Linked DNA regions of Arabidopsis thaliana. The protein of the gene in region 2 interacts with the protein of the main gene of each other region in a pairwise test. Each region holds a gene or a part of one and is shown on either strand. Other genes may lie near its edges.

Evidence for each region.
Region 1: the proteins of AT2G23070 (region 2) and CSK interact in a two-hybrid assay, tested with the Arabidopsis thaliana proteins (one study listed by BioGRID).

What each region holds. Positions count from the first base shown.
Region 1 is NC_003070.9:25,432,161-25,437,596, reverse strand, and holds CSK (chloroplast sensor kinase), read right to left. Parts: upstream 3,571-5,436; 5' UTR 3,442-3,570; coding exon 3,025-3,441; intron 2,937-3,024; coding exon 2,775-2,936; intron 2,699-2,774; coding exon 2,396-2,698; intron 2,290-2,395; coding exon 2,224-2,289; intron 2,122-2,223; coding exon 2,053-2,121; intron 1,965-2,052; coding exon 1,872-1,964; intron 1,704-1,871; coding exon 1,498-1,703; intron 1,403-1,497; coding exon of another isoform or gene 1,399-1,402; coding exon 1,125-1,398; intron 1,004-1,124; coding exon 758-1,003; 3' UTR 501-757; downstream 1-500. Other genes in the region: FXG1 (alpha-fucosidase 1), read left to right, coding at 4,625-4,856, 4,931-5,310, 5,386-5,436. UniProt on the Arabidopsis thaliana protein: Sensor kinase that senses the plastoquinone (PQ) redox state involved in stoichiometry adjustment of both photosystems (e.g. long-term adaptation via transcriptional regulation of reaction center genes of photosystems I and II) and state transitions (e.g. short-term adaptation involving reversible post-translational phosphorylation of light-harvesting complex II, LHC II), thus linking photosynthesis with gene expression in chloroplasts.
Region 2 is NC_003071.7:9,822,944-9,828,815, forward strand, and holds AT2G23070 (Protein kinase superfamily protein), read right to left. Parts: upstream 3,956-5,872; 5' UTR 3,929-3,955; coding exon 3,549-3,928; intron 3,215-3,548; coding exon 3,085-3,214; intron 2,966-3,084; coding exon 2,771-2,965; intron 2,564-2,770; coding exon 2,406-2,563; intron 2,203-2,405; coding exon 2,112-2,202; intron 1,974-2,111; coding exon 1,908-1,973; intron 1,802-1,907; coding exon 1,719-1,801; intron 1,622-1,718; coding exon 1,558-1,621; intron 1,442-1,557; coding exon 1,373-1,441; intron 1,282-1,372; coding exon 1,219-1,281; 3' UTR 699-1,218; downstream 1-698. Other genes in the region: CKA3 (Protein kinase superfamily protein), read left to right, coding at 4,285-4,370, 4,616-4,745, 4,827-5,021, 5,110-5,267, 5,421-5,511, 5,644-5,709, 5,799-5,872. UniProt on the Arabidopsis thaliana protein: Casein kinases are operationally defined by their preferential utilization of acidic proteins such as caseins as substrates. The alpha chain contains the catalytic site. Involved in the regulation of various developmental processes.

The DNA.
Region 1 (5,436 bases), on a different chromosome or scaffold from region 2:
TACTGTTTTAATTTGTCATATTCTTTGCTACAAAACAAGCAAAAAATATACAATAAATAAACCCAAGAATTTGCAAGATCTTTCCGAAAATAACGGAAGAAGATAAGATGGTGCTAAAAGAAAGCAACATAATCAAGATACATATTTGTTACTTTAACAGTGAAAGAAATTTTATTTCTTACCTTAGAATTGTATGAATGGAAAAGATTTGGACTTTTGGTTAACCAAAAACTTTATTTTCTGGAAAATTGTGTATTAAATAGAGAGGTTGGAAGTGATGAAAAAAAAAATAAAAAAAAATAGAGAGGTTGGAAGAATTGTATGGCATTGCTATATTTTGAGTGATTTAAAGCCAATGAAAGTTTGACTATGTCCATTGATAAATAGAGTTGCCAAACTCTATAATAAGGAAAATGTAGATTTCGTACCAAACTGAAGAGTCCACTTTCTTTAATAAGAGGTCCCCCACGTGAGAAGTTTAGAAGATGATACGGTAAAAAGGCATTTGAAGGTAAAAGAAGATTGAAAAACAATTGCAATCAATTTTGTTCAAGTCTTCCTATATCACTTACATAAGAATAGAGCTATATATTTACGTTACAAAGTCCACATATGTAGACATGACTCTTTTGGGTTTATGTACATATTAAGGTGTTATTACACATCGATCAACATATCACAAAATAGACTATACATTGGCTTCACCACAAATCGGACTCGAGACTAAAAAGATTCACAAAGAGATGGAAATGAAAACCTATGCTTCATTGGCTTCAGATACTGCTGCAGGGAAGGCAGGCAGCCAGAGCTCTACACGAGTACCGCCAGCTCCTAAGGCTGCATCGGAGCTGCGAGGTGATATAACCCTGATCACGCATCCGTAACTCTCCAGGATCTCTCGGGCTACGGTTAAACCAGCCACAAAGTTCCATGTCATATTGTCTTCAACCATGTTTTCCGACAGGAGTTCTGCTCCAAATGGTGTTAGCGAATGCATTTGCGTCTGCATTGATGTAACAAATTTATGTTAAAAAGCAATATGATTCTCATATTAAACTGGTTAAGCCCTCAGACTTAAATACAGGAAGTAAAAAGCAGCAGAATATAAGTTCGGTCTTGATTACCATATAGCGCATATCAGGACCATCATCATCAATTACTACAAGACTACCGCCAGCAGGAGCTCTGGTCGACAAAATTTCAACTTTCCCCCCAACATGAGTGCGCAACAATGCACCTTCGATGAGGTTGCTCAGAGCTTGCCTCAAAGCTGGTTCTTCAACAGCAACTTGCAGGGAAGCTGAGTTCTCACCTAGCTCCACTACTCTTTGCTGAGTAAGTGCTAGTGGTCTCACAGTCTCGACCATATCTAAAAGCACATTAGAAATGTCGCATGGTCTTCCTGACATAAATGAAAGAGATAAGCCCTCCCAACACTTTGTTTCAAGTGAAGAGTTTTGTGGCAAGACGTTAAGTTAATTGCTCAGAAACTTGTACCTTATACTGTGCATTTGTAGGGGTGCCAGGGCAAGAGGTGGCATAGGCATTTCTGAATCATCTAATCCAGAACCCAAGGAAAGGCGTGTACTTGAGATTTGTGAGCCATCAATGGGGTCCTTATGTTCATACTTTGATCTCCTTGTTTCATTGTGTGTTTTATTTATCTTCTTTAGGGCTTCTTCGTTGTGGCGCACTATATTAGCCTGAAAATGAAATGCTTGTAAGAAATACAAACCGAAAAATCAAATTCGAGTATGGTTTGACAGATTTCCCATGCGCAACACATCTAAAGACAGATTTATAAAGACAACTGAAAATAGAGTGATGACTCTCTCAAGAACCAAAAGGGACAAAGTAAAAGAAGGTGTAACCTTTGTCAAGTGAACTGCATCCTGAAGTTCTTCAAGGGTATCCTTTATTTGATCACCTTGAACTATTAAGTCTTCCACAATATCATGTGAAATCTACAATGTACAAAAACCCAAGTCAGTCCGATAACTGCAAGACTCAGGGAGAATAACATTTCCGGCTACAAATGCTAATTGCAAGGACCTGATTTCTCTTAGTGTGAGTTGAAAGCATTTTACTTAAAGTCCTCATGGTAGAGAGCGGACCACGGATCTGCCAATACGCAAGAAAGAAAAATGCGTAATATAAACTAAAAGGAGACATTAATTAACATAAGATCTATGTGTACTAAGTTAACAAGTGCGTGGCTTGTACCTGCTCCACTAGCTTACTCATCCTCACATTGTTTTGCCAAGATGACTGTTGAAGTAACATTGTTTTCTATACATACCCAATAATAAAAAAAAAGATCAATAAGGATTAAAGCCAACAAAGACGGTCAAGCAAAAACATAAGAACAAAGGAAAAGACAGGATATAAGAACAACCTGATCCATGACATAAGCCATAGCGAGAGTCCGAGAAATATTAATCGCATACGATCTCTGCTCTTCAGTGAAAACCTTAACAGAAGGAAGTTTAACTCTAGGTGATTTTGTATTAGCTGAAGCAGGCAAAGCATAAGCTTCCTCAGGGGAAAGAAACTGATTTACACCATGCGGTTTTTCCTCTTCCTCCTCCTCCTCCTCCTCCTCGGCTTCTACTGGTAACTCAGCAACCAAGAAACCGACAACAAACGGGTGTTTCACCATTGGAAACACAGCAGCTCTATGTTTACTCACAAGTTCTACCTATCATCCACATATTATGTCAACAAAAAAACCATAAGTAAACTTGAGTTTAACGCAGAGGAAGAAGAACACATACTTGTTGACTAGAAAGTGATGCTTCAGCTGCTCGTAGACCCGCAGGGATACCAAAGTTTCCAACTAAGATCACAACGTCTCCAGCATTAACACTTGGATAACAAGTGACACGACGCAACTCTAATCGATCCATCACATAGCTACCAGCTGGTCTTACATATATCTAAACCAAAACCAACATAAAAATTCAACCTTTAATCTAACAACACTCTATTTTCAAGCAACAATGATGTAAAAAAGCAGAGACGCACCGAGAGTACTGCGTTTGGATCAACGATTTGACGAAAGAGATCTAATTGCTCAAGACAAAGCCGTTGAAAATCAGGACTTGGCAAGATAATCTTAGTCTTGAGATGGTCTTTCTCAATCATCTGTGTGAACTCTACAGGAGTTGTTGAAGCTCCACGAATCGCGGAAGCTATAGCGGAAGCAGAAGCAACCATGGTCTCTCCTCCTCCGGGTTCTGATTCTTCATTAGATACAGTGTGGTTTACGTAACGGAGACCGCGTGTAAATATAGAAGACGACGACGAGGAGGAGGAAGAAGAAGAGGCATTGAGGAGCTTAAGGGAGGGATTAGAAGGTCTAGGGTTTGGAATAGAATTGGAGAAGTGTAGATTAGGGTTTGATGAGAGAAGGGTCTGAGAAGCGATTGCAGAAAGAAGCATCACTACGGAAGACGACAGTGGAGTCTTTACTTTGTGGCTGAGACTGAAACTCTCGCGAGGAAGACGATCGATATACGATTATAGTTTACACACAAAACAACTACAACTAAACGGCATCGTATTAACAGACTTGTAATTATAGTTTACACAAAAAACAACTACAATTAAACGGCACCGTATTAACAGACTTGTAACAGTTTCAGATGAGAGGAATGTAAAACGGCGACGTTTTGCCATCTGATACATTAACCTCTAAGAAGAACATTCAGTTGTTTTTAAATTATTGTAAAGTTTTTACGACGTTTAAACATTTTCACAAAGTTTCGATAATTTATGTTAAGCATCACTTCGAAAGTTGTGATGACTGGTGAACAGAATTCACTGGGAAAAAAATATTAGTAGGGCATTAACAATACATTTCTATTAACAACTAGGGGTATTTTTCTTAAATTTTCATGTTTCTACTAATGTTTAAACACACGTTCTTCCAAACTTGTAGAATGGTAACACATCTATTAAAGTAAGAAAACACTATGTTGTTCCCCATAGCTAAAAGAGGCCAAGAAAATGTTAGATGGTCAATCAGTGAGCTTACTATTAATCATATTTATGTAGCCATAGCCAATCAAACGAAGCAAAGCCCTTTTCAACCAGTTGAACAAATCCAAACAAGCATGTTTCAACCATTTTGGAATCCAAACAATCATCTCTACGAACGAAACCACACAACAATCTCACAACCCTGTTTCATTAATGTTGCGATAATCGTGAGAGTGTATACACGACAACTCATGCAAAAAAAGATAAAAGAAGATTTGAGAAAAAAAACGTGATAGAAAATAGAGACAACAAATTAAAAAAACTAGATATCTACAACGAAAATAAAATAAAATATGAAAATGGAAAGCTACCATATAAACTTAAAAAGAAAGAAATAAGAAGAGAATCCTCCAAAGAAAGAAAGCATATTTGTATGATGGTAAACTTACAAGTATTTTCGTAAACATATTCAAAATGTATTGATTTATAACTAACCCTATCTCAATAAAAACATATCACAAATCTCTGATTTTTGTGTTTTGCCAACCTTCTTTCTTTTTCTGGTAGGGGTAACGTTTCTCTTCTTTTGAGGATAAAAGTCCCGTGATTGAGTTTTGGTCTCTTTACATCTTTAGCTTTACCAATGAATCCAATCCTATCTTCTTTGTTTGCTCTCTCTTTGCTTTCTTCACTATCACCATCAACACATGCCCATCAATGCCATTTCCCAGCAATCTTTAACTTTGGTGACTCTAACTCCGATACCGGCGGTCTCTCCGCTGCTTTTGGCCAAGCTGGTCCTCCTCACGGCTCTTCCTTCTTCGGCTCACCCGCGGGACGATACTGCGATGGTCGCCTCGTCATTGACTTCATAGGTACACTAACTCTTCCCTATCCAAAACGTTTGCGTTTTTTGTTTTTGCTGATTTTGCTTCTGTTTTGAACATAGCGGAGAGTCTTGGATTACCATATCTAAGCGCGTTTCTAGACTCCGTTGGTTCAAACTTCAGCCACGGCGCTAACTTCGCTACCGCGGGATCTCCGATAAGAGCTCTTAACTCTACTCTACGTCAAAGTGGATTCAGCCCATTTTCACTCGATGTACAGTTCGTACAATTCTATAACTTCCACAACAGATCTCAAACTGTTCGTAGTCGTGGAGGAGTCTACAAGACAATGTTGCCTGAATCCGACAGCTTCTCAAAAGCTTTGTACACTTTTGACATTGGTCAGAACGATCTCACAGCAGGTTACTTCGCTAATAAAACCGTAGAACAAGTTGAAACCGAAGTTCCTGAGATCATAAGTCAGTTCATGAATGCTATCAAGGTTGGTCTCTCTGTTTCTGACTCTGATTTTGTTTAAAGGGAAATCATAAAAATGTGTTTTTTCTTTTGGTGATAGAATATTTATGGACAAGGAGGGAGATACTTCTGGATTCATAACACTGGACCT
Region 2 (5,872 bases):
ATGCTAGACGATCATTGTTCTCATTTGCCCTGCATGCTTCCTTTGATCACGTGTTATTAGTTCACCATGAATCTACGACATTATACAGAAATTATTCAAATGATAGAATGACACGTTCAAGATCCGATGATCCCATATCTAAATATGAAAAATGTAACGTTTCAATATAAAAACAGGAATGAAAAACAGAAAAATCTTTTTTATTTTTTTTTGGCCAGAATGAGAAAATCTTTATCACACGAAACTGATTATCTAAAGCATTCCAACAGAATACATCATTCAATAATCTCATTTACTCATACGCGTGAAATCTCACTTTGGATTAAGGTGTCAAAACTCAAAAGATAATCTTAATTCACAAGACTGCACACCGGTTATCAAACGTTTTTAATCGTTTCCAAAGTAAATATTTATTTCTCTTTTGGTGGATGATTTTCTCCAATAATTTGAAAAAAATAACTGATTGATGGATCATGGATGCATATATATACTGAAAATCTTGCACAATTATTAGTTATATATTTCCATATTTGGTTTCATATGTTTTAGACACAGCAATATCTTTGCGTGTGCGTAATTCACAAAATTTTAAGAGATGAGTAATTTTTTTAAGGCATCATTTTCAACAAGAAAGAAAGAGACAGACAGCTATATTGTAAACTAATATAGGATGATTGCATAATCATTTGGACAAAGGGAACCAGAGAGATTAAACTAAACTTAAAAGATATAAGACAGATAGGTCGAGGTTGTTCCACAGACACAGTACTCAAGATCGGATTACGTGCTTAATGTCCCCTAATCACTATTTGGATTAGATTAGAGATTCTTGTGCTTTCTTATGTCTACAGTTATATATCTAACTGACCGACCATCACTCTCTACTCCCGATGCGAGCTTCTTCTACCTTCCACGGAGCTGTCAAAACGGGCTAACTAAAACCGGCAAGCCAAACCAACCTGTCCCGCTCAAGAATATGAAATTTTCCAGAAAATTAAAAATGAGAAGAAAAGAAAGAAAAACCTTTTGAAACCCGTCTTGTGGATATTTTTTTTTATATAATAAAATTCAAATGAGTTGAATGAAACACTGAGAAAGAGCAAAACAGTAACACACGCACACTTGAGAGAATGAAACAATGACAGATCGATTTATAACAAATTTGAATCCGTAAAGAAATGAAAAATCAGAAGATTGAACAAGCAAATGTTTTCGAGATCACTGGCTGCGCGGCGTACGGCTGCTCTCTGCATTTCTAATCGGATAGAAATATGGATGCGCCTGTAAAAATCCATCATATTCTCTACTATCACTTATCTGTAATTATAAGAGAAAATCTTTAGAAAGATATTAAAGAAAAATTGTTGCTTACCATTGCTTCTTTAGCTGTTGGCCTTTCTTGGTGATCATATCTCAGCAACTTGTCCACAAAATCAACAGCCTTCATTAACCAAAAAGTATATGAAAACAAATGAGTCATGTTCGTCCAAAAAATCCGGTGTTTTGGTCTTAACATGAAGGCTTCATAATTGTATAGAGAAAAGTTAAGTGTTGTACCTCAGGAACTGCTAAGTGCTGGTTTTCAGAATTGATGAACTTTGTCCATGGCTTCCGGCTATGTCTATATAAAATCAAGAGTGCATAATTTAATGTTCTGAAATGATAAGGCGCAAAACTGGAGTTTTTAGAGTTTTTCATAACTTTTTAAACCGGATTACCTGCCCACGAGGGATGTTAGATTAGGGTCCAACTCTATACGGTATTTGTTTAGGTAGGCGTTGAGTTCATCTGTGCCAAGCACCTGCCATAGTTATAAATACATAGAATCGTATTTTTAGCTATAACTTGGAGGAATGTAAAATCTGTTCAGAGGAGACGAGACATGATGAAAGCTTTTGTAATGTTACCTTCGCAATTTTGACCAATTGATCATAGTTGTCATGGCCATAAAAGAACGGCTCCTTGCGGAATATCTGCAAACAGTAGAGTATACAATATTCACCACTTAACTAACTTAAGGAATGGTAAAATAACCAAAATGTACTGTCGAATTCTTGTCATTCCATTACAGCTTAAACCAAGTTAACTAAATTCTAGCTTAAAACGCTTACCATTCCAGCAAACATACACCCAAGACTCCATAGGTCTAAGGAATAATCATAGTCCTGTAAATCCACCAGCAGCTCTGGACCCTTAAAGTACCTGCTCATCAAATATGAAGTGAGAAATGATAATAGTATACATCAGCTAGACGAAGTTAGATAATATGTTTCAACTAATCTCAAGAGCTCAATGCATGCAATCTTCAACATTTCTTATCTAGACTCTCTATGAGCAGAAATTTAGCAACTGCAACAAATAGAATCTTGCAGAGGAGAGATTAGCAGATAGCCAAAAGGAACTACCTTGAAGCAACACGGACATTGTATTCTTTCCCAGGATGATAGAATTCTGCCAAACCCCAGTCAATTAAACGAAGTTTTCGCTGCTCGTGATCAATCATGACATTATGTGGTTTCACATCTCTGTGCATGATTCCACGTGAATGGCAGAAATCCAACGCCTGCATAAATGTTAAAAAGAAACAACAAACAGCATCAGAAACAAATTCGTACCCTTTATAACTGAAGGCTAGTGGATTCAAAAGTCAAGTAAGGTAAACAACAGTGTATGACGCTATACATCTATGATATATCTACCGATTACTTTTGCCAATTGCCAAAGCCGCAAAGAAAATCATGGTCTACAATTCAGGAAACTGAATAATTACCTTTAGAAGTTCAAAAATGTAATATCGAACATCATAGTCTGAGAGAGTTGGATAGAGAACTTTGAAATCTTTATTGTTCACATGTTCAAATATCAAGCTGGGCGTCTTAGACTGCTGATCTCTAACAATGTCGAGCAATTTTACAATATTAGGCCCACCGCAGAGGTTCTGCAGAATCTTAATCTCTCTCTTAATCTGCGTCAAGGAGAAGCAAAATATGTTAGAGAATAATTCAAACCAAGTGAAGGGCCAGAAACACACTTCATTCTGAGCACAATTGAGATAAAAACAAGCAAGCGGCTGTATCTACTCACCTTCTTCTTCTTCACAGGCTTCAAAATCTTGATAACACATTTCTCGTTATCAGTAGCATGAATGCCTTCAAAGACCTCACTGTATTTTCCCCTTCCTACCTTCCTCACCACCTCATAATCATCCTGTACACTGCGGCATCAATGAAGCTAACTCAAACACTAATACACCAAACAGTAACAACACCATACAAACTCAAGATATCAATTCAACAATCTAGTTCACATAGACCAGCAATTTTCAAGAGATTATATACAAACAAAACAGATACCAATACAAACAAATCAGATACCAATTCTGCATTACTTACGAGATTATATCATCAATCAAAAATATGAAACGAAACCCTAAATCTACATTCCACATTGATTCCAGAACAACCAATCCCAAACCAATCTATAACCAAAGGCAAACATCTAGAAATCGACGTAATTAGGTTTAATTAGAGAAGAATCTGAAGATATACCCCCATTGAACAGCAAGGGACTCGTAATCCCAATAGTCCTTAGGTCTAACAACGTTGACATCAGCGTAAACCCTAGCTTTCGACGGCGCACCGGCACGCCGGATAGATTTACCGATCTTCTGAGCCAGCGTTTCTGATTTTTCTTTCACGCGCGATTGCTGTTGTTGCTGATGTTGTTGTTGTTGATTCCGGAGATGTTGACGGTAAAGAGAAGCGCTGGATGCGAAACGACGGAGATTGTCCTGGAGCGAAGAGAGAAGAAGATTCCTCTTCGCCGGAGACGACGAAGAGAAGGAGAGGAGAGAGAAGAGATTGTTGTTGGCGGCGGAAGCGTTGCGAAGAGAGGAGATTGTGAATCCAGTACAAGGCCTTAAGGCCATTAATGTCTTTTTTTAACTCTTATTCAGAAAATGAAAAGTGAAGGTAACGAATTTGCTTTATTTCTCTCCTTTCTTTTTCTTTGGCTTCTCTTCGAAACGATGTCGTTTAAACAATTCGGTCCGGTTATAGTGTGATTGAAATCGATCCGATTGGGTTTGTTTCGGTTCGAGTGTGGTTGAATCGGTTCGATTTGGTTTAGGTGGTTTTTGGGTATCAGAGATTCTTCTTCAACCTTTTTCTAATCCTGCACAACGCACTTCTTCTGTTGTCATCATCATCGTCCACTTGAAACAAACCTGACGATCAAAGAGAAGATTGCGATCGCAAATTTCTCCATTTTTTCAGATCGAAATTGATGTCGAAAGCTAGGGTTTATACAGATGTTAACGTTGTTCGTCCTAAAGAGTATTGGGACTACGAGTCTCTCGTTGTTCAATGGGGGTAAAACTTCTAGCTTTAGAATTTTTCTTTGATGAATTTACGATTTTTGACTTCTTTTTGATAAATTTTCGGTGGAATTTGATTGATTTGTTGCCAAATCGAATTCGAAATCAGAGAAATTGGAATTTTTTAGGGTTTGGACTTAGGTCTCTTGAAGACACTTTGTTTTAAGTATCTATTAGCAAATATTGGATTTTGAAATTCAACAGTGTGAGATTCTTAAATACTTTTGTGTGATTCTTCAGTCATCAAGATGATTATGAGGTTGTGAGAAAAGTTGGTAGAGGAAAATACAGTGAAGTTTTCGAAGGCAAAAACGTCAATACGAATGAGCGTTGCGTTATCAAGATCCTCAAACCCGTAAAAAAGAAGAAGGTGATCAGTTAGTAGAACTCATTTCTGATGAATTTGCATACATAAAGATGGCTAATTTTGCTGAAACTTGATGTTATGCAGATAAAGAGAGAGATCAAAATACTTCAGAACCTATGTGGTGGACCAAATATTGTTAAGCTGTATGATATTGTTAGAGATGAGCACTCCAAAACACCTAGCTTGGTATTTGAGTTTGTCAACAGTGTGGACTTTAAAGTATTGTATCCAACATTGACTGATTACGATATCCGGTACTATATTTATGAGCTTCTGAAGGTAATGTATCGGTATTTACCATAAATGACTTTTACCGTACATACAAATGTTTATCGTGGAATCCAGAGCTGATGTTATTGCATTTCAGGCATTGGATTTCTGTCACTCTCAAGGAATAATGCATAGGGATGTTAAGCCTCATAATGTCATGATAGATCATCAGCTGCGTAAACTTCGTCTGATAGATTGGGGCCTTGCTGAGTTTTACCATCCCGGAAAAGAGTATAATGTTCGCGTGGCCTCGAGGTAATATCCGATACCACAGCTTAATTCCACCTGTCTTGGCAAGCCTAAGAGGGTCATTCGTAGATGCCAATGATTGAAACTTTTAGCTGTGCAATCAAAGCTTCTTGTAGTTGTTAAATGCATTAGACTAAAAACCTGTGAATTAATTGCCAGATACTTCAAGGGTCCCGAGCTTTTAGTTGATCTACAGGATTATGACTATTCTTTAGACATGTGGAGTCTTGGTTGCATGTTTGCTGGCATGGTGAGAACTAATAATCCCCTCACTCTTCTCTCTAGCTTCAATGCTGAAGCTATTGCAAGCATTTGAATTTCCGAATGGTAGTCGTTAATACTTTGCTGTTGCTTATTCACTTGTCAAATATTGATGCTGCAGATATTCCGTAAGGAACCGTTCTTTTATGGCCATGATAATCATGATCAACTTGTCAAAATTGCCAAGGTATATTGCTAGTCTATGACTTATTGGCATAAAATTACATTGTAAACTTAAATCCATGTATATGATTTCTGATTGAAACGTGTGCATAGGTGTTGGGAACCAATGAGTTAGATCATTACCTAAACAAATATCAGCTAGATCTTGACCCTCAACTGGAAGCACT